3 linked regions of the Stegostoma tigrinum genome follow. The protein of the gene in region 1 interacts with the protein of each later gene in a biochemical or structural test. Links are inferred from orthologs where the notes say so. Each region holds a gene or a part of one and is shown in the gene's direction. Other genes may lie near its edges.

Evidence for each region.
Region 2: the proteins of microtubule-associated proteins 1A/1B light chain 3C (region 1) and stk3 form a complex in vitro, tested with the Homo sapiens proteins (2 studies listed by BioGRID and IntAct). The link is inferred for Stegostoma tigrinum from reciprocal best matches to the Homo sapiens genes MAP1LC3C and STK3.
Region 3: the proteins of microtubule-associated proteins 1A/1B light chain 3C (region 1) and nbr1a form a complex in vitro, tested with the Homo sapiens proteins (2 studies listed by IntAct). The link is inferred for Stegostoma tigrinum from reciprocal best matches to the Homo sapiens genes MAP1LC3C and NBR1.

The regions. Positions count from the first base shown.
Region 1 is NC_081395.1:6,214,203-6,224,464, forward strand, and holds the start of microtubule-associated proteins 1A/1B light chain 3C, read left to right. Parts: upstream 1-6,369; 5' UTR 6,370-6,575; coding exon 6,576-6,633; intron 6,634-6,841; coding exon 6,842-6,897; intron 6,898-8,306; coding exon 8,307-8,413; intron 8,414-10,255; exon of another isoform or gene 10,256-10,262.
Region 2 is NC_081358.1:121,913,487-121,923,762, forward strand, and holds the start of stk3 (serine/threonine-protein kinase 3), read left to right. Parts: upstream 1-6,400; 5' UTR 6,401-6,491; coding exon 6,492-6,514; intron 6,515-10,276. UniProt on the Homo sapiens protein: Stress-activated, pro-apoptotic kinase which, following caspase-cleavage, enters the nucleus and induces chromatin condensation followed by internucleosomal DNA fragmentation.
Region 3 is NC_081384.1:16,098,445-16,108,800, forward strand, and holds the start of nbr1a (NBR1 autophagy cargo receptor a), read left to right. Parts: upstream 1-6,480; 5' UTR 6,481-6,617; coding exon 6,618-6,719; intron 6,720-10,356. UniProt on the Homo sapiens protein: Ubiquitin-binding autophagy adapter that participates in different processes including host defense or intracellular homeostasis.

The DNA.
Region 1 (10,262 bases):
CCACCCTAACCCGCACATCCCTGGGCACTATGGGACAATTTAGCACGGCCAATCCACCCTAACCCGCACATCCCTGGGCACTATGGGACAATTTAGCACGGCCAATCCACCCTAACCTGCACATCCCTGGGCACTATGGGACAATTTAGCACGGCCAATCCACCCTAACCTGCACATCCCTGGGCACTATGGGACAATTTAGCACGGCCAACCCACCCTAACCTGCACATCCCTGGGCACTATGGGACAATTTAGCACGGCCAACCCACCCTAACCTGCACATCCCTGGGCACTATGGGACAATTTAGCACGGCCAACCCACCCTAACCTGCACATCCCTGGGCACTATGGGACAATTTAGCACGGCCAATCCACCCTAACCCGCACATCCCTGGGCAATATGGGACAATTTAGCACGGCCAACCCACCCTAACCTGCACATCCCTGGGCACTATGGGACAATTTAGCACGGCCGATCCACCCTAACCTGCACATCCCTGGACACTATGGGACAATTTAGCACGGCCAATCCACTCTAACCCGCACATCCCTGGGCACTATGGGACAATTTAGCACGGCCAACCCACCCTAACCCGCACATCCCTGGGCACTATGGGACAATTTAGCACGGCCAATCCACCCTAACCCGCACATCCCTGGACACTATGGGACAATTTAGCACGGCCAATCCACCCTAACCTGCACATCCCTGGGCACTATGGGACAATTTAGCACGGCCGATCCACCCTAACCTGCACATCCCTGGGCACTATGGGACAATTTAGCATGGCCAACCCACCCTAACCCGCACATCCCTGGGCACTATGGGACAATTTAGCACGGCCAATCCACCCTAACCTGCACATCCCTGGACACTATGGGACAGTTTAGCACGGCCAATCCACCCTAACCCACACATCCCTGGGCACTATGGGACAATTTAGCACGGCCAGTCCCACCCTAACCCACACATCCCTGGGCACTATGGGGCAATTTAGCACGGCCAATCCACCCTAACCGACACATCCCTGGGCACTATGGGACAATATAGCACGGCCAATCCACCCTAACCCACACATCCCTGGGCACTATGGGACAATTTAGCACGGCCAACCCACCCTAACCCGCACATCCCTGGGCACTATGGGACAATTTAGCACGGCCAATCCACCCTAACCCGCACATCCCTGGGCACTATGGGACAATTTAGCACGGCCAACCCACCCTAACCCGCACATCCCTGGGCACTATGGGACAATTTAGCACGGCCAATCCACCCTAACCCACACATCCCGGGGCACTATGGGACAATTTAGCATGGCCAATCCACCCTAACCCGCACATCCCTGGGCACTATGGGACAATTTAGCACGGCCAATCCACCCTAACCCACACATCCCTGGGCACTATGGGACAATTTAGCATGGCCAATACACCCTAACCCACACATCCCTGGGCACTACGGGACAATTTAGCACGGCCATCCCACCCTAACCTGCACATCCCTGGGTACTATGGGACAATTTAGCACAGCCAATCCACCCTAACCTGCACCTCCCTGGACACTATGGGACAATTTAGCACGGCCAATCCACCCTAACCCGCACATCCCTGGGCACTATAGGACTATTTAGCATGGCCAATCCACCCTAACCCGCACATCCCTGGGCACTATAGGACAATTTAGCACGGCCAATCCACCCTAACCCGCACATCCCTGGGCACTATAGGACAATTTAGCACGGCCAATCCACCCTAACCCGCACATCCCTGGGCACTATAGGACAATTTAGCATGGCCAATCCACCCTAACCCGCACATCCCTGGGCACTATAGGACAATTTATCACGGCCAATCCACCCTAACCTGCACATCCCTGGGCACTATGGGACAATTTAGCACGGCCAATCCACCCTAACCCACACATCTTTGGGCGGTGGGAGGAAATCCGCACAGACACGGGGAGAATGTGCAAACTCCACACAGACAGTTGCCTGAGGCTGGAATCGAACCCGGGTCCCTGGCGCTGTGAGGCTGCAGTGCTAACCGCTGAGCCACCGAGCCGCCCTGTGTTTGTTGGGGCTGGGGGTGTGTGGAGGTGACATCCTCCCACACACCACATACACTCTCTTTCCCAAACAGTGGAGGATGTGGGAGCCAGTTGTCAATTTTAAATCTGGGATAAATTATTTCCTTATTGAGAAATTTATTTAAGACTTTTATTTCCCTTTTATTCAGAGATCTGGGCCAAGCTTGATGGGCTGAATAGTCTACATTTCTTCCTATGACTGGCCCCATCCCCAACTCATAGAATGCCTACAGTGCAGGTAGCGGTCATTTGGCCCAGCCTGGGCCCCTGAAGGGCATCCCACCGCGCACACTACAGCATAGCTAATCTACCCTAGCTTGCACACCTTTGGTCTGGTGGAAGCTCTTAGATGAAACACACGGGAGAATGTGCAAAACTCCCTCACAGGCTTCTGAAGAAGGGTCCAGAACCAAAACATCAGCTTTCCTGCTCCTCGGCCTGCTGTGTTCACCCAGCTCTACACCTTGTTGTCTCAGGTTCTCCAGCATCAGCAGCTCCTACTATCTCCCTCACAGACAGGTGTCCAAAGCTGGAATTGAACCCAGAGCACTGTGAGGCAGTACCTGCTAACCACGGAGCCACCATGCTGCCCTGCACTGCCCTAGGGTATCCTGTGGGGATATAACAGTCCTGGGCGCTCACACAACAGTGGGAAAGACACAAAGTAGGATACTGAATGGTCTCAGAGGAACTGGAGGAACACAGCAAATCATTCAGCATTGGAGGAGCAGGAAAGTGGACGTTTTGGGTTGGGACCCTTGATCAGATCCTGGCTGAATGGTGTCCTTTCTGCTAACCCATTGTTATTTTGTGTCCCCATCCAAGAGGTGAGGTTGTGCTGCACACAGAGAGGTGTTAACTGCTTAGTGCCAAAGGAAACATTCTGAGTAGGAGGACTGTCCATGTTGTTTGGGCAGTGTATTCTCAAGGGATGCCGTTATAATTTTTTAAAACCAGATATGACTCAGCTCCAGGGCAGACGAGTCTTCAAATTAGGCCTCCTGGCTCAGAAGCACAGTATTTACTAATGTGTCACAACCTCCCTCCTCTGTCAAAATCTGCACATCACAGTTTGATTTATTTATGTAAACCGTCACACTGCAGTTGCAGGCTGCAGCCACCGGGTGGTGTGGTGGAGCAGCACTCCCCTCAATCTGCTGCAGTCTTTGAGAGGATGAGAATATTCACAGGAGATAGTAGGGGCTGCAGATGCTGCAGAATCTGAGATAACACGGTGTAGAGCTGGATGAACACAGCAGGCCAAACAGCTTCAGAGGAGCAGGAAAGCTGACGTTTCAGGTCGAGACCCTTCATCAGAAATGGGGGAGGGGAAAGGGATTCTGAAATAAATAGGGAAGGGGATGAGATGGACTGAAGATGGATAGAGGAGAAGATAGGTGGAGAGGAGAGTATGGATGGGGAGGTAGAGAGGGGATAGGTCAGTCTGGGGAGGACAGATGGGGCAAGGGGGCGGGATGAGGTTAGTAGGTGGGAAATGGGGGTGCAGCTTGAGGTGGGAGAAGGGGATAGGTGAGAAGAAGAACAGGTTAGGGAGGCGGGAATGAGCTGGGCTGGTTTTGGGATGCAGCGGGGGAAGGGGAGATTTTGAAGCTTGTGAAGTCCACATTGATACCATTGGGCTGCAGGGTTCCCAGGCGGAATATGAGTTGCTGTTCCTGCAACCGTCGGGTGGCATCATTGTGGCAGTGCAGGAGGCCCATGATGGACATGTCATCTAGAGAATGGGAGGGGGAGTGGAAATGGTTTGCGACTGGGAGGTGCAGTTGTTTGTTGCGAACTGAGCGGAGGTGTTCTGCAAAGCGGTCCCCAAGCCTCCGCTTGGTTTCCCCAATGTAGAGGGAGCCACACCGGGTACAGTGGATGCAGTATACCACATTGGCAGATGTGCAGGTGAACCTCTGCTTGATGTGGAATGTCATCTTGGGGCCTGGGATAGGGGTGAGGGAGGAGGTGTGGGGGCAAGTGTAGCATTTCCTGCGGTTGCAGGGGAAGGTGCCGGGTTGTGGTGGGGTTGGAGGGGAGTGTGGAGCGGACAAGGGAGTCATGGAGAGAGTGATCCCTTCGGAATGCAGACAGGGGTGGGGATGGAAAAATGTCATTGGTGGTGGGGTCGGATTGTAGATGGCAGAAGTGTCGGAGGATGATGCGTTGGATCCGGAAGTTGGTGGGATGGTATGTGAGGACGAGGGAGATTCTGTTTTGGTTGTTATTGTGGGGACGGGGTGTGAGGGATGACTTGTGGGAAATGAGGGAGACACGGTTGAGGGTGTTCTCAACCACTGTGGGGGTATGTTGCAGTCCTTGAAAAACGAGGACATCTGAGATGTTCGGGAGTGGAATGCCTCATCCTGGCAGCAGATGCAGCGGAGGCGAAGGAATTGGGAATAGGGGATAGTATTTTTGCAGGAGGGTGGGTTGGAGGAGGTGTATTCTAGGTAGCCGTGGGAGTCAGTGGGCTTGAAATGGACATCAGTTTCTAGGTGGTTGCCTGAGATGGAGACAGGGAGGTCCAGGAAGGAGAGAGAGGTATTAGAGATGGTCCAGGTGAACTTAAAGTTGGGGTGGGAGGTGTTAATGAAGGTGTTGGTGAATATTCACTACCTGTTATTATGTTGGGAACGGGGAGGTATCAGCAGTTGGATTGGAAGGGGCAGAATGGAAGTACAAGGCTATAGGAAACTGCACAGGAAGGTCCCAGCTTTGCAACCAGAATCTTATCAGCAGTATTAGGCTGTTAGTGACAAGATGCTGCATCATTCAAGCAGAATCACAACTGGTAAAGAAATGTAGGAAGCGATAGACTACAACTCCCCACAATCCACTCCTCTCCAAAATGACTAACTTACTCCCACCTCACAGACAGAGAGTTCTTGGGAATTTCTGCTTCCTCATCCAGGCTCACAATCCTTGTCCAGAGGGAATGCCGCACTGTCGGAGGATCAGCGCTGAGGGAGCGGGCACTGTCGGAGGGTCAGCGCTGAGGGAGCGGGCACTGTCGGAGGGTCAGTGCTGAGGGAGCGGGCACTGTCGGAGGGTCCGTGCTGAGGGAGCGCCGCACTGTCGGAGAGTCAGTGCTGAGGGAGTGGGCACTGTCGGAGGGTCAGTGCTGAGGGAGTGGGCACTGTCGGAGGGTCAGTGCTGAGGGAGGGGGCACTGTCGGAGAGTCAGTGCTGAGGGAGCGGGCACTGTCAGAGGGTCAGTGCTGAGGGAGTGCTGCACTGTCGGAGGGTCCGTGCTGAGGGAGCGCCGCACTGTCGGAGAGTCAGTGCTGAGGGAGCGGGCACTGTTGGAGGGTCCGTGCTGAGGGAGCGGGCACTGTCGGAGGGTCAGTGCTGAGGGAGTGCTGCACTGTCGGAGGGTCTGTGCTGAGGGAGCGGGCACTGTCGGAGAGTCAGTGCTGAGGGAGTGGGCACTGTCGGAGGGTCAGTGCTGAGGGAGTGGGCACTGTCGGAGGGTCAGTGCTCAGGTGCTGCGTAAAAAGAGTAGGGGAGATGCTGGGGCTACAATTTGGGTATATCTTCCTCGCAGGACAGGCTGAATGGCCGCTTCCCTACTGTGAGCCCCACATTCTACAGGAAACCACACCATCATCACACCAGATCCTTCAACGAACTTCTAGTTGACCTTCAATGAAATGTAACAAATTAACTAAAACCGTAAGACGTGTGGAAGTCAGAAACAGAAATTGCTGGAAAAACTCAGCAGGTCTGGCAGCATCTGTGTAGAGAAAGCAGAGTTAGCATTTCGTGTCCAGTGGCCATTCCTCAGAATTTTGAGGAAAGGCTGAGAGAGCTAGGGCTTTTCTCTTTAGAGCAACGAAGGATGAGAGGTGACTTGGTAGAGGTGTACAAAATGATCCGAGGTGTAGATAGAGTGGACAGCAAGACACTTTTTCTGAGGGTGGAGGTAGCTATTACGAGGGGGCATGGTTTTAAAGTGAATGGGGGCAGATATAGGGGAGACGTCAGAGGTAGGTTCTTTACTCAGAGAATGGTCAGGGTGTGGAATGCATTGCCGGAGAGGGTAGTGGAGTCGGCCTCATTAGGGGCATTAAAGTGGCTATTAGATAGGCATAAGGATGATAGTATAAGGTAGAGGTGGGGGTCTGATAGACCTTAGGTTTGGAGTGAAAGTTCGGCACAACATCGTTTCTATGTTCTGCCAAATCCACTGAGCTTTTCCAGCCATTTCTGTTTTTGTAAATAAATTAATTACTTGAAACAAGACTAATTGGTAAACGCCCCTTAAAGCAAGACTGATCGACCTGAAACAATACTCCAGCAGAAACTAATGGCTTAAGTAAATCTTATTGTCGATGCCCGACTGTTTAACTGGTTAATTTAGAGTGAAGATTGGGGTTGCTTGGACGGGATGTTAAAACACGCGGGCTGGTGGCTGAGGAGGGGCAACGAAAGCATTTTTGTTCCCTGTTGGGAAGGGAGAAAAGTTTCTTTTGGAGAAAGGCATGGCTCCCTCAGAGAGGACCCTGGATTGTAGACCCTTCAAGGAGAGGCGTAGTTTGGGTGAGGGGTTTTATTCTTTTTAGGAAAATCTTCCTTATCATGAAATGCACGCGTCAATTCCACTCTATTTCCAATCTGTTTTTAAATCTAGTTCTAAACGCCTTTTGTTTAAACTTGCTTCTCTTTTCAGTCACTTCAGAATTTTGTTTAGAAATCAAATTATTCACGTTTGTTTGTTTTTTTTGTTGTTTATTTTGTTTTGCTTAAGCTTTCAGGAGAAGTGAAGTAATTAACATCCGCAGGAAGTACCCCAACAAGCTACCGGTCAGTCAAAAAGCTTTTATTATTGTTATTTAAAATGTTGAGAGGTGGAAGGGGGGGCGGTTAGTGTGCCAGGAAACGGTGTACAGCTGCAATGTGATCCTCCTTGCTTTTTCTTAGTTTAAATCCCTTCCCTTCTGCAAATGTGAAAAGAATAATCGATTAAGTCTACCCTCTGTGCACGACTCTAAACCTGTTAGGTCCTCACTACAGAGAACTTGTTAACGCCATGACGTTTGCTTGTTTTTAATATGTAACTTTGCACCAGCCAGAACACGCTACACTCGGATAAGTGCGTATTTACTAGGACGATACTCTTCCCGGATAACAATCTTTCCTGTGTTTTTATTCAACACCAGGGTATTAGAATTTAAACATCAAGTGAATAACCAAATCTGCTTGTATTTAAAAACTCCAGGACTTATTAAAGCTAATGTTTGCCTTGTTTCTAGCACCACCACCCCCGCCCCCCCAAAAGAAACTGGGAACTGTCACCTTCTGAGGTGTTCCGTACAATGCCTTGAGAAATAAACAGATCCCTCAGGGAGAGACTTAGTCAAAATTCCACTTACGGAATGAGTCAGTAATAAACCTGGAACATATTAAAGTTAGAGCCACAATGACTTGATTTTCAAACCTCTTTTGGGTCACCTAATGCCCCCCCTTTCCTTTTAAGGGAAGGAAATCTGCCATCATTATTTGCGATTCCAAACCTACAACCTGATCCAACTTTTTGCCCTTGAAACGAATCATTTTCAGTTCAAGTAACGAATGTGGTTTGGGACAGTGTTTTAATGCGCCCAGAGGAGGTGCTGCTGAGCTGCCTTCACGGTATCATTCCACGGTGTTCCAGGATTTTGTCCCAGTGAGGCTGGATTCCTGTTCCCAAGTCAGGACGGTGCATGGCTCAGAGGGGAATGCACAGGGGATGGATTCTGTAGATGGTAGAGCTTATAGGTTTGGAAGGTGCTATCTAAGGAGTTTTGAGATCTTACAATGCATCTTTTGTAGGTGGTATGTAATACTGAGTGCCAACTTGGGGGGCTGCTTTGTCCTGGATGGTATTGAGTTTCTTGAGTGTTGGGGCTGCCCCCATCCAGGGGCAAGTGGGGAGTATTCCATCCCACCCTTGCCTTGCAACGGACAGGTTTTGGGGAGTCAAGAGATCGGTTACTCATGGCAGGATTCCCAACTTCTGACTGGCTCTTGTGGCCAGGATACTGAAAAGCTGGTCAAGTGACCTCTTTCCCCCAGAATAGTAGTGGATTCCAGTTTTTCCTATCCATTTGGCTAATCCTACAGGAGGTGGAATGGGAGTAAATGGGGATTTTTGGCCCCTGCAGATAGAGTTGGCATTTAGTGACTGTTCATGGCATTTTGAATGTGTGTATCCTGATATCTCTATCTCTCAGGTGATTGTGGAACGATACCCAAAGGAGCGATCCCTACCTCATTTGGACAGGTCAAAATACCTTGTACCTCTGGAACTCAGCCTATGTCAGTTCATGATCATTATCAGGTACAGCTGACCCTGTTAAATCTCCCATAACCACTGCTCTCCTCCCAAGGATTAGAGGTCATGGGGAGGAAAGAGTGGGCACCTGCTTGAGGGAGGGGGAGATGTGTAGGGCTTCCCAATACCCTGGATGGTCTTTAGGACACTGGGGAGGGGGCTGAGTTGTAGCGACTGACTGATTGGCCTCTTGAAAAATCTCAGTGGGTCTGGCAGCATCTGTGGAGGAGAAATCAGTTAATGTTTTGGGTCCGGTAACCACCTCTTCAGGACTAGTAGCTAGGAAAAGGTCAAATTTTATGCATAAGATAAAGGGGGGAGGGTGGTTGAGGAGTAAGTGATAGGTGGAGACAGAGCCCAGAGGAGTGGATAAGGTGGCTTGGGAGGATGACAGATAATGGGGATTATTTAGTGGCATGTGGATTTATTGGGACTGAAGCCTTCGGTTCTGATCCCTCTCCTTACCAGCTGCCCGTGAGTAATCTGGTCTGTTTGCAGTCTTTGTGTCACGCTTGGCCCCTGAGATAAGTGCCTGATGTCCCTAAGGACACCCTGTCTCCCAGTTCATCTGCTGAAATCCTCACTCCTGCCCCTATTTTGCCTCTAATCAGGATGATGCCCAACTGACTTGATTATCCAAATTCAGTCTTTAAGTCTCATCAATCTCTGGCAATTTAGTTCTCAAGCTAATGGTCTTGTTTTCCTGTTTCCTTCCCCCCCACCCCCTGTTGAATCAGGCAACACCTGAATGTTGAAATTCTCCACTTGTTTTCAATTCCTCCCAGACCACTTCCCAATTCTACACTTTTTTTTTCTGTAACCTTCTCCAAAGCTTTCCTTGACCTGTGTTCTGGAATTCCAACTGAATCCTTTTTCTACATTGCAATGTCTGCTGTCCTGACCATTGACAGCAGAGGAACCTTGCATCCCTGAAACATCTCCACCTATCTCTAATGCAGCTCTAACTCCCACCACCCCCCCATCTCCCTGCCACAGTGTGTCCTGTTTTTAGTGTGTGAAATGCACAGCTACAGGGATATGTGGGTGAGATGATTAGGACAGCATGCTGACTCTCAGCACCAGGGGCCCAGGTTCGATTCCACCCTCCGTTGACTGTCTGTGTGGAGTTTGCACATTCTCCCTGTGTCTGCGTGGGTTTCCTCCAGTTTCCTCCCACAGTCCAAAGATGTGCAGGCTCGGGTGGATTGGCTGTGCTAGGTAGGCCTGTGGTGTTCAAGAAGGTGTAGACTAGTGTGGGGATGGATCTGGGTGGGGTGCTCTGAGGGTCAGTGTGAAAAGAGGCTTCAGTTGGCATTCCAGTGAACTTAGTGGGCCGAAGGGCCTGCCTCCACACTAGGGGTTATAAGCAGGAACAGCTGATTATATTTTCAAGTGGGGTTTGGAGCTGAACTTGTTCACATCCAGCTGCTGCCCTTCCCCCTTTTAGCAGGAAGGGGGATTGATTCGAAGTTTGGAACGTCCTTTTTGATTCACTATGCTCAATGAATTGCCACTTTCCTGTGGCTTGTTTTTTTGAAGCTGGGAAGGTTTAATTTCTAGCAAAGTAGAATGCCATGCTGTGGTGAAGTTATCACACTTGGTTGGTCTTGTACAGGGCTCATTCCATTCACGGGAAACTTTCAGCCCATGAGGTGACTTCGAACTCTAGAATGAAAGTTGAATGAAGGAAATGGTTCAAATGGGCTCTAGTCTGAAATGCTTTACCCTGAACCCAACAGTGATGCCTTGCATGTAGCGAATGTCACTCCACTCAAACATCCAACTGGTCAAGTCCACTTCAGTAGCTGAATATCCTATCAAACATCTCACATGGAAGTGTACAGTACACATTAGC
Region 2 (10,276 bases), on another chromosome or scaffold:
GGATGGGGAATTGAAATAATGGGTCATCATTGAATGGCAGGGCAAGGTCGAAGGCTAAATAATCTAATTTTGCCTCTAACTTGTGTAATTTTATGTTCTGTATTATAATTAGTGGTAAGTACTAGATATGGTCTGTGAACAAAAAAACAAAGAGCATGAGTAGGACTTTCAGCCTCACTATCCTGTTCCCCCATTTAATAAGATCATGGCTGATCTAGATGAAGCTCAAATTCACATTGCCACCTATCCCATTCTTAACCTTTTACCTTCTTGCTTATCATCAATCTATCCACCTCTATCTTAAAAATATTAAAAGAATCTGCCTCCATGCGTTTTAAGGAAGCAAGTTCCAAAGATTGTTGACCCTTAATTCTAGATTCTCCCATGAGGAACTTCTTCCCCCCCCAAGCCAAGGATTTTACAGGTTTTAATCAAATTTCCTGTTAGTATTCTGAACTCCAGTGACTAGAAGCCTAACCTGTCCAATCTTCGTCATAACAAAGTGTGGAGCTGGTGGAACACAGCACGCCAAGCCAGCTCCACACTTTGTTATCTTGGATTCTCCAGCATCTGCAGTTCCTATTATCTCTGATCACAACCTTCCTCATAATCCACCCATTCTAGACATTTACTACAGTGAGCCTCTGAACGTATTCTAATATATTTACATCCTTACTTCAGTAGGATGTCCGATACTGTATATGGTACTTTAGATACGGGTCTTACATGTGTCTTGTATAATTGAAGCATAATCTTCCTACTTTTGTATTCCATTCCCCTCAGAATAAATTACAACACCCCATTAGCTTTCCTAATTACTTGTGTACCTGCTCACTAACCTTTTATGATTCATGCACTAGGAATCCCGATTATTGTGAACCTGTAAACCCTGCAATCTTTCACTATTTAAATAACTTGTCTCTTTGTCATTCTTCCAGCAATACGAACAATTTTACATTTCTGCACAATGTATTACATTTGTCAGATCTTTGCTAACCTACTTATCAGTATCTTTTTGTAGCCACTTAAATCCTCTTCACAACTTACTTATTTTACAACCTACCTATTTTTGTGTCATCAGTAAACTGAGTGTTTATATCATCTCTTCCTTCATTGATTTGATTTGATTTATTGTCATGTGTACCTAAGTACAGTGAAAAGCTTTGACTGTGAGCAGTACAGGCAGATCGGAGCAAGCACGAATATACAGATCAGTGAGTGAAAAACAAAACCTGGACAGAGTCGGGAATACATGTTACACTGCACAGGAAGTGCACGAGGCATGATAAACATTAACAAGAACAGCATTATTCAAAATTAGAATCCATTCATCAGTCTAATAACAGTTGGGAAGAAGCTATTCTTGAACCTGCTGGTGCAGTTGTTCATGTTCCTGTATCTTCTACCTGATAGAAGAGTTTGTAAGAGAGCATTACCAAGATGGAATGGGCCTTTGATGATCTTGGCAGCCTTTTCACGGCAATGACACATGATCCAGCAGTGGGATCTTGACCCCTACAGTATATCATTTGATTTTTTAAAAAATTCATTCATAGGATGTGGGCATTGCTGTCATTGAAGGGAACATAAAAAAATCTTGTTGAAATAAATTATTTTAATACTCTTATTTTGATACTTGTAATCAACTTGTTCAGATGTGTTATAACACACCTCCGGAGCAGGTGGGGCTTGAACCAAGTATTCTATCTCTGAGGCAGGGACATTACCACTACAGCACAGAGATAATGGGAACTGCAGATGCTGGAGAATCCAAGATAACAAAGTATGAAGCTGGATGAACACAGCAAGCCAAGCAGCATCTCAGGAGCACAAAAGTTGACGTTTCGGGCCTAGACCTTTCATCAGAGAGACCCTTCAACACTACAGCACAACAACCTTTGCATTAATCAATTCATTCAAACAACTGGTCACCCCATTTCCAATACTGAATTAATAAATAGAAGTGTGAGGGACTCTCGTTGTGCAGTGTTGATATTGCTGCCTCTGAGCCAGGAAGCCTGGGTTAAAGTTCCACCTACGCCAGATTTTTGTTATAACATCTCTGAACAACTTGATTTCAGAATCATACCCTCTTTTCGATTGGGAAAGCCAGACTCCCTGATCATGCAAAAACAGAAGTTGCTAGAAAAGCTCAGCAGGTTTGGCAGCATCTGTGAAGAGAAATCAGATTTAATATTTCTGGTTCAGTGATCCTTGCTCAGAACTGATGGTAGGTAGCAAAATATTGGTTTATATGCAGAAGATAGGTTGGGGGGAAGGGGAAGGAGTAAACGAAAGGTTTGGATAGAGCCCAAAGAGAGAGAAGAGCAGTTGGATAACGGAGGAGATACAATCTGGCTAGGAGGGCGAATAGCTGTTAATGGAAACTGTTAATGGCTAACAATAGTGTGTGATAGTGTGATTATGTAATACAAGGCCTGGTGTCTGGGGTAGAGGGCTAGGACATGAGACAGTTCAGGCCCTAAAATTATTGAAGTTGATATTTGGTCTGGAGGGCTTCAGGGTCCCGAAGTGGAAAATGAGGTATACTTCTTCTAGTTTGCACTGAGCTTTGCTGGAACTCTACAGCAGCCCTGCGACAGAAATAAAAACCGAAAGAACTGCGGATGCTGTAAATCAGAACAAAAACAGAAGTTGCTGGAATAGCTCAGCAGGTCTGGCAGCATCTGTGGAGAAAAAATCAGAGTTAATGTGTTGGGTCCGGTGAGCCTTCCTTTAAATGATGTTAGCCAGGGAACAAGGTGGTGTGTTAAAGTGGCAGGAAACTGGAAGATCAGGATCATGTTTGCTGGCAGAACACAGATGCTCCATGAGGTGGTCACCCAGTCTTTGGAGGAGACCACACTGTAAGCAACTAATGCAGCAGACTAGATTGTGTGAAGTGCAGGTGAGTTGCTGCACAATCTGGAAGTTGTGTTTGGGACCTTAGATACTGAGAAGTGAGGAGGTAAGTGGGCAGGTGTTACACATAAGGTGGTTGCAAGGGAAGGTGCCGTGGGGCCGTTGGGTGGTGTTGAGAGTGAAGGAAGAGTGGACTAGGATGTCCCAGAGGGAACAGTCCCTGTGGTAGGCAGACAAGGGAGGGGAATATGCATCTAGTGGTAGCATCTTGTAGGAGGTGGCAGGAATGGTGGCTGATCTTCTGGATGTGAATTCTGGTGGGATGGTAGGTATGGACAAAGGGAACCTATCACTGTTGTGGGAGGGAAGAAAGGGGGAGAGGGCAGAAGTGTGGGGGATGAGTCGGACCCGGTTGAGGACCCTGTTGACAATGGTGCTAGGCAATCCTTATACTATATATTAAAGGAAAAAGATGGACATTTTGGAGGCTCCCTTGTCGAAGTTGGCCTCATCAGAACAAGAAATGTGTTTTTTTCCTTTCAGGCATCAATGCTCACGAGATGCAACAGCTCAGAGATACCCATGACCCTCTGAAACCTTCCTTTCCTCCCCTTCCCTCTGACTCCATTTCTTCCTCAAACCCGACCACCTGTCGGGCATTCACCACCTCTCCCAACCTTCAAACATTCTGTGCTCAGCAAAGGTGTCAGCTTTATCCCTCTGCGACCCACTTAATGAGCTTCAGGCATGACATGAAATCCAACTCTTCTTCTGCCATCTTTGCCTTTGTGCCATTTTTTGGACAAGAGTCCTCTCCCCATCCCACAGACCCCTTCATCCAGCTCGAACACTCTCCCTCCACCCGGACCCCTCCTTCTGGCCTTTTACCTGCACTTGATCTGTTCACTGAGAATTGTCGATGTCAATTTCTCTGCCCCCTCCCTTAACCAATCCAACCTATCTCCTCTGAACTGACTGCACTCTTTGTGCTCAGATCCAACCCTGACTTTGTTATTAAGGGGGGTGCTGTTGTAGTTTGGTGCACTGACCTCTACATTGCAGAGGGTCAAATACCTCCTCCTATCTTCCTCTGGACCATGACCCCCAACATGGAACATCAGGCCATTGTATCAACTATGGTCACAGACCTCATTTCATCTGGTGATCTCCTCCCCACTGCCTCCAAGCTAATAGCCCGCCAACGCTGCACAGCTTGCTTCCACCTTCTTCCAAAAATCCACAAACAGGGCTGACCCATTGTTTCGGCCTGCTCTTGCCCCACAAAGCTATCTATTCCCACCTTGACTCAGTCTTTTCTCCCCTGAGTCTAGTCCCTACCCATATATATATCCATGATTCCTCTGATGCTTTATGCTAGTTTTGGAATTTCCAGTTTGTACACTCCAGCCGCCTCCTTTTTACCATAGATGCATGTAAACTTTACACCCCCATCCTCCACTAGGATGTTCTCAGGGGTCTTCAACTTCTTCCTGGAGCAAAGGCCTGAGGCATCTCCACCCACCACCAGCCTCCTCCACTTGGTTGAGACTCTCCTCACTCTCAACAACTTCTCTTTTAATTCCTCTCATTTTCTTCAGGTCAGAAAAGTGGTCATGGGTCCCAATTATAAATGTCTCTTAATGGGGGATATTCCTTCTTCCAATCCTCTCCAGACCCCTCCCACAACTCTTTCTCTGATATATTGATATTGTTGGTGCTGCTTCCCTCTCTCATCTGGAATTGGAAAAGTTTCTAATTTTTTACCCTGCCCTCACTTTCATCTGGTCTATCTCTGACTCCTCCCTTTCTTGATATCTTTAGTTCCATTTCTGGGGATAACTTGACAATTAATATCCACTGAAAACCCACTGAATCCCACAGCTACCTGGACTACACACCCTCACACCTTGCTTCGTGTAAAGACTCCATTCTATTCTCCCTGTTCCTCTATCTCCATCGCACATGTTCTGATGAGGCCAACTTGCACAGGGAGCCTCTGAAATGTCAACCTTCTTCCTCAACTGAGGATTCCCCAGCACCGTTATCAACAGGGCCCCCAACCAGATCTGAACCAGCTCCTGCACTTCTTCCCTCACACCTGCTTTTTTCTCCCACCGAACAACAATAGGGTACCCCTTGTCCTTACCTACCATCCCATCAGCATTCAAATCCAGAAGATCATCATCCATCATTTCTGCCATCTCCAGCAAGATGCTACCACCAAACACAGATTCCCCTCCTCTCTCCTCCCTTGTCCACCTACCGCAGGAGCTGTTCTCTCCGAGACACCCTGGTGCACTCTTCCTTCACTCACAACAGCACCGTCCCCTGCAACCGCCATGGGTGTAACGTCTGCCCATTTACCTCTTCTCTCACTCAATCTAGTCTACTGCATTCGTTGCTCACAATGTGGTCTCCCCAAAGCGTAGGTTGGGCAGCCACTTCACAGAATATCTATGTTCTGCCTGCAAAAGTCACCCTGAGCTTCCAGTTGCCTGCCACTTTAATACATCACTGTTCCCTGGCTAACATCTCCATCTCAGGCTTGCTGCAGCATTCCAGCGAAGCTCAGAGCAAGCTGGAATAACAACACCTCAATTTCCACTTGGGGATGTTGAAGCCCTCCAGACTCAATATAGAGTTCAATAATTTCAGGGCCTGAACTTCCCCAGGTCCTCGCCCCTCACCGCACAAAGCAGGCCTTGTTACCACATAGTCTGCCATTGTGCGCTAGCTATTGTTAGCCGTTAGAAGCTATTCACCCTTCTAGCCAGATTGTTATCCACTCCTTTGTTTGTCCAACTGTCCTCTCTCTTCGGGCTCTATACGCATCTATGGTTTACTCCTTACGCTCTGCCCCCACTCTATCTTCTGCATATAAACCAACATTTTCCTGGCTACCATCAGTTGAGGAAGGGTCACCGGATCCGAAAAGTTAATTCTTCTTTCTCTTCACAGATGCTGCTGGACCCACTGAGCTTTTCCAGCAACTTCTGTTTTTTGTTTCTGATTTATAACATCCGCAGTTGTTCAGGATTTTATTTTGCTCACCGAAGATGGACATGTTGGTCAATCTGGGTGGGCACGGCCAGCTGCGGAGAGTGGTAACGTGATGACATCTCCCAGAATAAAGCCAGTCAGAGCTAGTTCGTTAAACCACCCGATGACTGAAGTTACGGGCATTTGTTTCCATGTGATTTCTCGTTAATATGTGCCCTTCAAATAACCAAACGGTTTAAAACGGAATCAAGGACTCCGCCAGCTACGAGCTACGACATCAAAGACTCTTAGACTCCACCGTGATTAGTCGCGGCTGCGCAGGAGGAAGAACAGTCTGTGACCAGAGAATCGTGACTGCCCAAACTGATTGACAGTTCGACGCTGCCACACAGACGGCACTTCTGGCACGATAGCGTTCCGACCAATGGGATGGTCGAGGAGGCGGGCTGAGGGCGGAGGAGGACGGCGCCGGTGTCACCAGCTGCCGTTTTGGAGGAGGAAGGTTTGGGGTGGGGTGGGGAGGGGAGGGGAGGGGAGGGGGAGAGAGGCGCGTGCAGTGACGTCAGGCGAGTCGAGCATGGCGGTTTGAAACTGTAACCGTCGCACGTTTAAAAGGCGTCACCGTAGTGATGGAGCCGTCGGCGCCCAGAAGGTAGTGACAACCCCTTTCGGAGACGTCGAGGGGGCGGTGGGGGTAGAGGCAGAGGCGGGTCGTTTGATGCATTAAATGCAGTGGTTGTTTACAGGAAGAAGATGAAACTTTTACAGAGTTTTTTCTTCTCTCTACTCACTCAGTTTATGTTTGTACGTGTTGTTCCCGAAGTCAGTTCAGAAGGGCATCGAAGTTCCAGTGTTTTTAAATACTGCTTGTTGTTTTCCAACTAGAAGTGACTATCATTGTAGGCTTGTTTTTAAAATTGTTTTGTTTCTGGTCTTGGTGAAATGGTGTCGAGGGGAGCTTTAAAAACATGAATATTTGGGAGGAAGTTAATTCGGGGAGATTATGTTCCTGATTTCTAGTACTGGAGTTGATCCTGAATTTCTCTTTTTGATTTCCCTTATCGCCGGGGATAACTTTACGATGTTGTAATGCTTTGCAACACACTGTCATTACATTTCTTTGGGAAAAGAAAGAGTAAATTTGTTGTGCAGTAGTTCAGGTCCCCAAGATGTCACAGACCACAGTGCACCTTTTTTTGAAGATTTGTCAATGACACTGTTTTCCTTGGGGGCGGGGGGGGAAGGAAAGAGTTCTAGAAATTAAAAATCTGATACTAATGATTAGAACCTGCTCTTGGTGATTTGGTGATAACAAGGTGTTGAGCTGGATGAACACTGCAGGCCAAGCAGCGTCTTAGGAGCAGGAAAGCTGATGTTTCAGGCCTAGACCCTTCATCAGCAATGCATCTTCTACCTCAATTCCATGCTCCTTGCCCTAACCTTTTCTCTCTTGAGGATCAAACATTTAAATAGTCCAGCCTTGAATATAATCAATTCATATCCTGAACTTCCTTGGGTAGAAAATAGCTGTGTGTGTGTGATCTCCTCAACTGCTGCTGCTGCTGTGTTCTAAATTCCCCAAAAGACCTCTTGAGTTTACCCTGCCAAGCCCCTGCAAAATCTTGTATGTTTCCAGGAGGTAACTTCTCCATTCTACTGAAACTGCAGATTGTCCCAAGTTGCTTAGCCTCTTGGCAGAATACAGCTTTCCCATCCTAAAAATTAACCTATTTGAATCTTCTTTACTTCTTTCTTAGACATGGAAATCAAAACTGTACTATACTTTGTACAGTCTTGCCAAAGCTCTACATAGTACAATTGTAACAAGACTTCCATATGCAATTTCCTAGCAATAAAGGCCAGTGTACCATTTGCCTTCCTAATTGCCTGATGTATATGCATCCTCTGTGTTCCTTGTATGAGGATACCTGAGTACAGGTGAATATCAACATTTACCAGTCTGATGCTTAATAAAAATATTCTGCCTTTCTACTCTGACCAAAATGAATAACCTCAAACTTTGCCACATAATGTTCCAGCTGCTTTTGTTGCCCATCCAAGCTGTTGGCATCTCTTTGCAGCCTGTTTTGGTCATCCTGACAACTTATCATCACCTAGTTTTCTATCAGAAGTAAATTTGGGTATTAAGTCCTCACTTAAAATTTAGATTGTTTTCCTGAAAATCATTGGTTCCCAGAGAATAGAACAGTACAGGCCCTTCGAAGCAGATGTTAAATCTGTATTTTGGTTTTGTAGGACCTACCTTATCCTAAAAGTCTAGCAATAATACTACTAGGCCATTGCCTCACTAATGTAAGTACTTCTTAAACGTTATGAGGATTTCTACACAGTTACAAGCTGTGTTCCAGATTCCCATCTCCTTCTGGAGTTACCTTATACCCAAGGCCCCATCTTTGATCCCTCCACCAAGGGGAAATGTTCCTTTTCTACCTTATCTATGTCTCTCATAATTTTATGCATCTCAATCATGACCCCCTTCTGTTTCCTCTACTCTGAGGAAAACTCACCCAGTCTATTCAATCTCTACTCATAACTAAAACTTTCCAATCCAGATAACATTGTAAAAAACCTCCTTTGCAGCCTCTCCAGTCCAAACATAGCCTTTGTTAAATGGGAATTCCAAAATTGCACAGTATGGTCTATGCCGTTTCAACATAACCGTCCTGGTGGATAAGAACAACAAGTTCCCACTGATCCTTGGTACTACACAAGGTCCTTCCCTTCATAACAAAAAAATGCTGGCGATCACAGTGGGACAGGCAGCATTCATGGACAGAAAGCATGCTAATGTTTTGAGTCAAGGTGACTCTTCAGACCTGAAGTGAAATGTCGATGGGGCAAAATTTTTGCAGTAGTTTGGGGGTGGGGTGGGGAAAGGATGTTGATAGTTCACATTAAGTGATTCTCATGTGAGATCACTTAATCTGAACTATTAACATCCTTTGATAACAAGGTGTGGAGCTGAATGAGCACAGCATGCCACGCAGCATAGACCCTCCTGAAACATCAGCGTTCCTGCTCCTAAGATGCTGCTTGGCCTGCTGTGTTCATCCAGCGCCACTCCTTGTTATCTCAGATTCTCCAGCATCTGCAGTTCCTATTATCTCTATCACCATCCTTTTATTGAGTTCAAATTGCTGCTAACAGCCTATCCTTATTCTCCTATAATCTAGGGCAATCCTCCTCATTATTTACCACCTCATTCATTTGTCCTTCAGTCTGAAAAATGATTTTTTACCATGACTACCTTAAACAATATTTAACCAAACTGACACTGACTCGCCTGCTCCACGAATCTTTATTTTATTAATCAGTTTCTGACATCGTATTTTCTCAGTACTTTAAATCTGTATGAGCAATATCTGCTACTTTCCCTTCAAAACTTTTCTCTGGTATTGCATCAAAAAATTATTAGATTGATCAAACATAGAACATAGAACATTACAGCACAGTACAGGCCCTTCGGCCTTCGATGTTGTGCCGACCTGTCATACCAATCTGAAGCCCATCTAACGTACACTATTCCATGCACGTCCATATGCTTGTCCAATGACGACTTAAATGTACCTAAAGTTGGCGAATCTACTACCGTTGCAGGCAAAGCGTTCCATTCCCTTACTACTCTCTGAGTAAAGAAACTACCTCTGACATCTGTCCTATATCTTTCACCCCTCAATTTAAAGCTATTCCCCCTCGTGCTCGCTGTCACCATCCTAGGAAAAAGGATCTCCTTATCCACCCTATCCAACCCTCTGATTATTTTATATGTCTCAATTAAGTCACCTCTCAACCTTCTTCTCTCTAATGAAAACAGCCTCAAGTCCCTGAGCCTTTCCTCGTAAGACCTTCCCTCCATACGAGGCAACATCCTAGTAAATCTCCTCTGCACCCTTTCCAAAGCTTCCACATCCTTCTTCTAATGCGGTGACCAGAACTGTACGCAATACTCGAAGTGCGGCCGCACCAGAGTTTTGTACAGCTTCTCCATAACCTCTTGGTTCTGGAACTCGATCCCTCTATTAATAAAAGCTAAAACACTGTACGCCTTCTTAACAGCCCTGTCAACCTGGGTGGCAACTTTCAAGGATCTGTGTACATGAACACCGAGATCTCTCTGCTCATCTACACTGCTAAGAATCTTACCTTTGCCTTTTGTAAATCTGTTCTAGATGTCCTTAATTAAGTGTCTCCAACTGCTACTTCAACTAGTGCATTTTTGCGTAAAATTGTATTGCCATAATTTTCAGGTTGAGTGCATTTTTCTATTTTTTACATTTTATCACTAAATTGGTGTGGGTGATATTGCAGGTTGTTCAGCTCAGTAGACTTTGTTGGTATTTTACCTTCACTCAAACCTCCTCCCATTCTGTTAAATCTCATACAATCAGAATAC
Region 3 (10,356 bases), on another chromosome or scaffold:
GAATGATGTACTGCTTTAACTTTTTGAAAATTTATGTATTGATATGGGTGCTGCCGGCTGGGGTCTGTATTACTGTCCACCTCTGGTTGCCATTGGTGACAATGAGCCGTTTTCTCAAAGCATTGCAGTCCACATCAGGAACAGTGATACATTTCCAAGTCAGATGATGGGGCTTCCAAGTGTCTGCTGCTCTGCTCCTTCCAGTTGGTCGTGGTCATAACTTTGGAAGATGCTGAGCAGCCTTGGTGAATTTCTACAGTGCATCTTGTGGATCCCATACACTACTGCTACTGAGCATCATTGATAGACAGAATAAATGTTTGTGGATATGATGCTACAACTGCACCCATCCAAACAAGTGGGAAGCATTTACCACACTTCTGGCATATATCTTGCAGATGCTGCACAAGCTTGGAGTTTTTAGGTGGGGGGTTACTTCATCAACATACACAACGAGGAAGGGACATGGTTTTAAAGTTTCATTCTGGGTTTGTTCTGAAAGTGGCAGTGGGATGACTCAAGATTTGTTTTGTTATCAAGCATTTCGATGTGGTATTAAAATGCGAGGTGAATAGCTCAGTGCATTAGAAAAAAAAAAGAGAAAAATTGCCATTGCTAGCTACAGGAGTCTAGTAACAAAAACAGCCACCCAGAAGAAGCTAGGTTCTGAGAAGTTACATTATCTGGACTGGCATGACAAATGGGAGAGGAGGGTTGTATAAATACCTGATAGCCTGCATCATCCAGTTTCTACCCTGTTTGTCAGATAAGACATCTTATCTATACCACCTGAACAAAATAAAAGCACCTTCTTTAACTGTGTATTTTCCACTACCACTTTTGTGTAAGGAATGTTTTAGGTTATGTAGGAGGGTATAAAAACAGAAGTTGCTGAAAAAGCTCAGCAGGTCTGGCAGCGTCTGTGAAGAAAAATCAGTTAATTTTTCGGGTTCGGTGATGCTTCCTCAGAATAGGTCACCAGATCTGAAACATTAACTGATTTTACTTCACAGATGCTGCCAGGCCTGTTGAATTTTTGCAGTAACTTCTGCTTTTGTTGCTGGTTGACAGCATCTGCCTTTCTGTTTTTATCTAAGAGGATATCTTTCTTATGTCAACTTCTCAGTGAAAGTGACCAAGTTTCAATTGCTAGTTGACTGATGAAATTTGAGTTGGCACAGATTAAATTAAATGCAATTGAATGAAAAACAAAAAAGGTGGTTAGGCTAATTGGCCTATAATTTTCATCTTTTGTCTTGATCCTTTCTTAAGCAAGGGGGTTACAACAGCAATTTCCCAGACTCCAGTGACTTTTGAAAGATCACAACCAACACCTCCACTATTTCCTCAGCCACCTCCCTCAGAACTCGAGGATGTAGCCCATCGGGGCCAGGAGATTTATCAATTTTTAGACCTTTTAGCTTTTCTAGCACTTTCTCTTTTGTAATGCCCCCCCGACTCTCCTTAATTGTTGGGATTCTTTGGCTCATTCTTACTTAGAGTGCAGTGCATAGGCCACAAGCTGAAGAACAATAATCAAGGCCAACGTAGCATTCTACTCCAGCCTCAGTCTTGCCCTGTGTCTCAAAGAGAGAGATGATGATTCTCCTCAAATTCAGTGCTGCATTTGCGAGGAATAGGTGTTATTATCTGAGTGGATGATTTTGCTGGGCAAGTCAAATTCTAGATTAAAGTCTGGCTTGACTTTTTGTTTTAGTGCAATGCTGTTTCAGTTAAAGCAAAAACAGGCAAATGCTGCAGATTTATGTTTTTAACAATAAAGCAGAACTGTATTAGGCAAAAGAAAGTATAAAATAGAAGAAACCATCCATTTACATATAACAAAGATTTTGAAACGCATGATAAAATGTGACCCCATAAAGCCTGATGACATTTCTTTACAATATTCAAACAGCTGAGACAATGGCTTTCTTTTTCCCACTGAGGATTTGACCTAGCTATGATATCAATTCCCTGTCCTGGGTCTCAGTTTCTTCACACAACTAAGCTTAGACTTCTTCAGCTTCACATAATTCCTTGAAGATTTTAACCAAACACTTCTGGTCTGGAAACCTGGAAAATTACTCTTTATACTGAAACCAATTACAATTGTTAAATAGTGTTAACTCCTTTTTATAGGAGCAACTGATTTACACATCTAGCTTCATGCTAGACTTGTGCAAACCTGACAAACTGAAACCCGAAAACTTTAAGCTACAGATAGCATCCCTATCAAAAAAGAGGGGAGAAAAACCAAACAAATAAACAGACATTTGAACTGCTTAACATACACTGTTTACTTTGCTCCCAGTGATAAACTTCAATTAGATCACAAGAACTCTCTCTTGGCTACAGAAACACTTAAAAGCTCATCATTAAACTACAGATTTCAAAACCCCATATGCCAAACTAACATAAAAGGTACTGAAATACACAAATTACACAGTTTACATTACCACACACAAATCTCTTAAAAAGCAGGTGACTGGCAAAGAAGGCAACCGTCAATGAATTGCCCTCCTGATGGAATTGGCCAGGGCAGAATCTGGTTATAACAAGTATTTATTTTTGTCACAGAGATAAATTCAAGACCTCATGGCAGCACACTTGCCTTAGGAACAAAATTGAGCACATGCTATTACTCTTGAGGGACCATGAGGTGTTCACATCACTCGTGACATGCCAGGATCTGCAACTGCTGGACTAATCATTGGCTAATACAATTTGCTATCTCCATCAGCCTCACCCAAGAACTGCAGCAGTAACATAAGCCAATCAGATGATATTCCATGAATGGCGCAGTGGCTCAGTGCCAGGGACCCGGGTTTGATTCCAGCCTCAGGTGACTGTGCAGAGTCTGCACATTCTCCCTGTGTCTGCGTGGGTTTCCTCTGGGTGCTCCAGTGTCCTCCCACAGTCCAAAGAAGTGCAGGCTAGGCGGATTGGGCATGCTAAATCGCCCAGAGTGTCCAGGGATGTTTAGATTAGATGGGTTCGACAAGGGAAATGTAGGGGTAGGGGAATGTGTCTGGATGGGATGTTCTTCAGAGGGGCGGTGTGGGCTCATTGGACCGAATGGCCTGTTTCCATACTGTAGGGATTCTACAATCAATGAACAGGAACCACAAAAATGCCCACAGCTCTTGGTCTGCCCTTAAATCTGTCTTAAACAGCTCATGAATAAACTCTAGCTTTCCCCAGCACAAGACCAGTTTGATGAGAATGATCAGATCCAAGGAAGGTGTTCTTGAACTGGAATTATCTCTGAAACCCTGAAGGAAAGAAAGCAGGGGGTGGAAATAGTCAGAGATGTACAGCACAGAAACAAACCCTTTGGTCCAACTCATCCATGCCACCCAGATATCCTATGTAAATCTAGAAATTGCTAGAAAAGCTCAGCAGGTCTGGCAGCATCTGTGAAGGAAAAATCAGAGTTAACATTTCAGGTCCAGTGACCCTTTCTCAGAATTGAATTATTTAGCATAGTCACAACTATTTGTGACCCAAGCACATATGCTGAGAGCAAAGAACAGAGTGGTGCTCATAAGAAGCAGTGCACCATGAAACACCACAACTTGCAAGTTCCCACCACACACCATTCTGACTTGAGATTTCTTCGCTGTTACTAGGTGAAAATCCTGGAACATCCTTCCTGACAGGACTGTGGGTGTTCCTATACTTTCAAATGGCTAAGTTTGAAGCAAGCAGCTCACATCACCTTAAGGCAATAAAGAACTAGTGCTGCCCCAATCATGTGAATGTATGAAAAAAATCTTAGATTTCATCATTAGCTTTTTAAAATTAAAACTGGCTTTAACATTTTACGGTCAGTCATTATCACCGTTTCCATTTTTGTTTCAGGTCCTGATGCTGCCAATTTCAGCTCTCACGCATCCACTGTTTTTGACTTCTGATCTTGCTACCCTACCACCATCACTTTTTGTCTTGTATAATCATCCCTGTTAGTTCGTTTAGACACGATCATACATTCCCCTTCTTTCTCCCTCCCAGCTCATTATAAGCTGAAGTATCATCCTGAGCATTTTGGTTTTGCCTCATAGGGTGTCAATGGCAGACTTTCTCAGGGGCAGAGCAAGGAGATGGATCTCAAGATTACTCCAGTCTGAATCGGAATGAAACCTGAACAACTATTATTCCCTGTGTTTATTTAAAATTTTGTTATAGTATTGTAACCTCTTGATCCGAACAAAAAGTTCTTAACTTGAAACTTTAACTGTTTCTCCCTTTTCAAATGCTGTCTGACCTGCTGAGTCTTTCCAGGATTGTTGGAAATCTGAAATTAACATCGACAATGTTTTGTTTTTGCTCTTACTTCCACAGATTTGCAATCAGCTTTACACAATTCAACTTTTATTTCTCAAGGTCTCAGTCCTGTGGTAAAATGCAGGAACACACAAACTTGTTAACAGTACAACTATATATTAATCCATTGTGCCAAGTGTATATGATTTAAGCATTTCATTGACTATGGATTGAAGTTTTTTTTTCCATTCTAACACTGCCACCTTCTCACAAATAGCACCCATAGTTATAAAAAAAACTTAATTCCACTTGCTTTGACTTCAAAACCAGGGAATAAGAAACATACTCATTCTCAGTGTCTGTCCTTCCTATTACTAATTAATAGTGACAAAACACAAATTCAGCTATCATATTACTACTACTTTTTTGGCTCGTCATATTTCAAGTCCAATCACAAAGACAGCAGCACAAATAAATTAAGCTTTGGAATAACAAAGTGTGGAGCTGGATGAACACAGCAGACCAAGCAGCAGCTTAGGAGCACAAAAGCTGACGTTTCGGGCCGAGACCCTTCATCAGAAAACCTCTGATGAAGGGTCTAGGCCCAAAACGTCAACTTTTGTGCTCCTAAGCTGCAACTTGGTCTGTGTTCATCCAGCTCCACACTTTGCTACACTTGCCCCCACACCTCCTCCCTCACCCCTATCCCAGGCCCCAAGATGACATTCCACATTAAGCAGAGGTTCACCTGCACATCTGCCAATGTGGTATACTGCATCCACTGTACCCGGTGCGGCTTCCTCTACATTGGGGAAACCAAGCGGAGGCTTGGAGACCGCTTTGCAGAACACCTCCGCTCAGTTCGCAACAAACAACTGCACCTCCCAGTCGCAAACCATTTCCACTCCCCCTCCCATTCTCTAGATGACATGTCCATCATGGGCCTCCTGCACTGCCACAATGATGCCACCCGAAGGTTGCAGGAACAGCAACTCATATTCTGCCTGGGAACCCTGCAGCCATATGGTATCAATGTGGACTTCACCAGTTTCACAATCTCCCCTTCCCCTACTGCATCCCTAAAAACCAGCCCAGTTCGTCCCCTCCCCCCACTGCACCACACAACCAGCCCAGCTCTTCCCCCTCCCCCCGCAACCAATGCATCCCAAAACCAGTCCAACCTGTCTCTGCCTCCCTAAGCGGTTCTTCCTCGCACCCATCCCTTCCTCCCACCCCAAGCCGCACCCCCATCTACCTACTAACCTCATCCCTACTCCTTGACCTGTCCGTCTTCCCTGGACTGACCTATCCCCTCCCTACCTCCCCACCTATACTCTCTCCACCTATCTTCTTTACTCTCCATCTTCGGTCCGCCTCCCCCTCTCTCCCTATTTATTCCAGTTTCCTCTCCCCATCCCCCTCTCTGATGAAGGGTCTAGGCCCGAAACGTCAGCTTTTGATGCTGCTTGGCCTGCTGTGTTCATCCAGCCTCACAGTTTAATATCTTGGAATTCTCCAGCATCTGCAGTTCCCATTATCTCTGATATGGTGACTATCTTATGTTGAGAATCTGCCGAGCTCAGGCACCTCCTGTGCTTTCTGCATTATAACAGGAGTCACATTGTAAACCGATCACTCTAAAACGTTTCGGAAGGAACAGCAGATGTCAAAGGCGCTGTGGAATCGCAAGGTACGTTCTATTCATTCCCCGCTCCCCATTCATCCAGAATCCAGTCTTCCCAAAAAAACACACATACCGCTAGGGTCCGTTGCTACAAACACAGAAAATCACACGCATTTTAATCAGAGAAAGATAAAATACCGGACGAAATGAAAAGTTGAAGCAGCATGCGACAGTGATCTCAAGCACTACCCTCAGCTCGAAGCATCGCCATATTTTGGGTCTCCCGCGCTCACACATGTCACAGGACATGACACGCACCGGAATGACGGTGCACGCATAGGCGCACCGTTTGTATTAAAAAAATGACGTAAGACGACGCTGCAAGCTTTTAACTTATACCCGCCAGATTCTAGCTGCCAACTTATTGTTTTAGACGATCCTTCATCTGACGGTCCAACATCCAACATTTTATCCGGTCTCTGATTTGTTTTGACGAATAGTGTGTAATCCCCCGGCCAAAGGCGTTATGCATGACGTCACATCCTGTCAGATGACTGGTTAGCTGCCAATGGGCGACCGTGTTTACCCTGGGCCGCAGTGGATGCTGGGTAACTGCAGGGCTCTGATGTAAACAGAAGCCTCTGGTGCCGAGGGGGGGGGAAAGTAATTACTGTCACTGTCACTATCATTGTCATCGGGCGGACGCCAGCTTCTCACCCACCGTGGAGGTATGGAGGAGCAAATCAAACTGAACGTGACCTTTGGTGGCGATACACAAACTTTCCTGGTGTGTGACTCGCAGAAGACGACGTGGGCGGATCTGGAAGCTATGGTTAGTGATGTGTAGGGAGGGGGTGAACCCCGCCCTGAATCAACTCTACACCCGCTCCCACATCTACTTTTCAATTCCCCCTGTCTGCATCTCCTCTCTTCTCCTGTCAGCGCCGCCCCCCCACCCCACCGCAACTTGTCGTCTCTCCCCAGCCCTCGCATCTACTGTTCTCTGTCCCCGACCCAACATCTATTCTTCTCTCTCCCCTACCCCCGCTCTCCCCCGATATTGTCACTTCCCTCCCCCCGCTCTTGCATCTTCATTTCTCCCCACCCCCCCCACTCCCGCAACTTCTATCTCCCCCCCCCCCCCCAACCCCCTGGCATCTTCACTCCCCCGGCATCTTCGATCTTCACCCAAACCTTCGTCTACACTCCTCCGCTTAACCCCCCCCCCCACCCCGTCTACACTGTTTCACCCCCATCTGCGTAGTCTACACTCCTTCCCCACTCCACCCCACCCCACCCCATATACACTCTTTGCCCCCTCCCGTAGCAGACATAGGATGATGTGCTCAAACTATTATGTTACGTAAGAACTAGTAGCAGAGTAGACCTTTCGGCCCCTCGAGCCTGCCCCCCCATTCAATAAGATCAAGATCAGCTCCACTTACCTGCCAGCACACCATAACTCGTAATTTCCTTACTGTTCAAAAATTTATCTAGCCTTGCCTAAAACACATTCAGCGAGGTAGCTTCAACTGCTTCATTGGGCAGGGAATTTCACAGATTCACAACCCTTTGGGTGAAGAAGTTCTCCTGACCTCAGTCCTACATCTGCTTCCCTTTATTTTGAGGTGATGCCTTCTATTGCTAGTGGAAACAATCTCCCTGCCTCCACCTTATCTATTCCCTTCATAATCTTATGTGTTTCTATAGGATCACCCCTCATTCTTCTGAATTCGCATGAGTATAATTTCAGTCTACTCAGTCTCCCCTCATAAGCCAGCCTCTCAACTCTGGAATCAACCAAGTGAATCTCCTCTGCACCCCCCTCCAGTGCTAGTATATATCTTCTCAAGTAAGGAGACTAAAACTGCACATGGTACTCTAGGTGTGGCCTCATCAGGACCCTATACGGCTGCAGCATAGCCTCCCTGTTTTTAAACTCCACCCAAAATTCCACTTGCCTTTTGCACCTGCAATCCTACTTCTAGCGACTCATGCACAAGGACACCCAGGTCCCTCTGCACGACAGCATGCTGCAATTTTTTACCATTTACAACATTGTCCATTTTGCTATTATTGCTACCAAAATGGATGACCTCACACTTATCAACATTGCACTCCATCTGCCAGACCTTTGCCCACTCACTTAGACTATCTATATCCCTCTGTAGACTTTCAGTGTCTTCTGCACAGTTTGTTGTACCACTCATCTTAGTGTCATCTGCAAATATTGACACCCCACACTTAATCCTCAACTCCAAATCATCGATGTAACTTGTAAACAATTGTGGTCCCAATGCTGATCCCTGAGACACACCACTAGCCACTGACTGTCAACCAGAAAAACACCCATTTACCCCTACTCTTTGAGTTCTATTAGTCAACCAATCCTCTATCCATGCCATGTTGTTTTTTAGTATTTTGAATAAAATGTTCAGCAATGACTCCTTGCAATAGTGATTCTGTCCTTGCAGCTAGGTTTCCTGGTTTAAATAAACAGTTTGGTTAGCTGTAGTATTATATATGAAGAATGTGATAACAAATATAAATATTTACTTTATAGTGTGTTGCTGCCACCTTGGGTTCACATGAACTCTGTTTAGCTAGTTCAATTGGGCAAACCGTGATGTGACGTTACTATTGATCTAAGCAGAACAATTTCAGATTCAGAACTTATTTATAATGTGATGTACCCTGACTCATGATATTTATCTCAGTATGTCCTGATGTTTATGCTGCTTAACAGATATGCAGTTTAATTTTTTTTCTGGGTGGTGTTAAATTGAACCTGTAAACAGGATATCAGATCATGCTTGTAGCTTTAGAAGGTTCTGATTTGTAGACATCAGGTTGAAACTGTTTGACTGAGTCACGTAACATGTGATGATATCCCAAATACCTTGGCAGTGTACTTTTTCTGTCATGACTTCCTGTGTTAATGGATTCTGAAATTTTATACAAGACTGTCTTCTTTGTGTTAATCTTTTTTTATATGTAAGCATTCCCTCACCAAATCCAGTAAAATAATACTGGAAGGGTGACCCAAGTATAGCTAATAAGTGAAAGTACGTTACAGTGAAAGTATTGTTGCAATTGTATAGCGTCTTGGTGAGATCGCACCCAGACTATTGTGTGCAGTTTCAGTCTCCTTTTTCAAGGAAGGACGTTTTGGCTCCGTAGGGAGTGCAGTGATGGTTTAACCAAGCTGACTGCTGGGATGGCAGGACTGACATATGAAGAGAGACTGGATTGGTCAGACTATAGAAGAATGAAGGGGTATCTCCTAGAAACCTATAAAATTCTAACATGACTCAATAGGGTCTGCCCAGGAAGGATGTTCCTGAAGGCCAAGTATCACAGTCTTGGGATATGAAGTAGGCCATTTAGGAATGAGATGTGGGGAGGTTTCTACACTTAAAGACAGGTGAATCTCTGGAATTCTTTCCTACAGAAGGTGGTTCAGGTCAAAACATTGAATAATCATTTATGATTACATTGAATGGCAGAGCAGCCTCAAGGGCCAAGAGACCTCCTCGTATTTTCTACATCTCAAGGAAATGATTAGCTAAGACAAATTTGGTCCACTGCAGAGAGAGTCATGAATGGGAAATAGAAAAATGGCAGAGAAGTCAGATACCACGTAATAATTTATCTTCACCTAAGGAAAGCAATAAATCTCCCTGACTTAGAAATTCAAGGGAAAAGAAGAATGAAGAATTGAAGAAGATTTGTATTAGTGAGTAGACTGGAGAAATGAATTGCTTTGAAGGTTAAGTTCCTGGGTCCCAAAGTTCCACATTTCAGAATGTTGAAAGAGATAATTATTGCAAATATGGGTGCTCTGCTGGTCACGTTCCAAATTCTATAGGTTCTGGAATGGTTCCTTCAAATTGAAACACGGTCAATGTTACCCTGCTATCTGCGTTTTAGAAGGAAGGGAAAGAGAAAACTGGGAAATACAGACTTGTTAACCTTTAAATTTGTTATGAAGTATGTGATAAATGGACACTTGGATAATAATTTGTTTGGACATAAATAACGTAGATTTGTGAGGATATATTTGAAGAATGTTACAAGCAGAATCGTTGAAGGGCAGTCCGTGAATGTAGCATATTTGAATTTTCAGAATGTTTTTGATAAATTCTCTCACACAAGGCTGGTTAGCGAAATGGAAATACATGGTCATGTGCTGGTGTGGATCCAGAGTTGGACAACAGGCAAAAGACTGAAAGTAAGAATAAACAAGTTATTTCTGCATTGACAGGCAGTGCCTGGTACTGTATACAGCAAAAATCAGTGTTTGTTGCTGTAGTGGTTCACAATATGAAACACTGATTTGGATATGGGGGTAAATGAAGTATTTCCAAGTTTGCAGATGAACAAAAAGCTAGGTGGGAATGTGTGTTGTGAGGAAAATGCAAACTTATTTCAAGGCAGTTTGAGGCAGACTTGATGAGTGAGCAAGTACA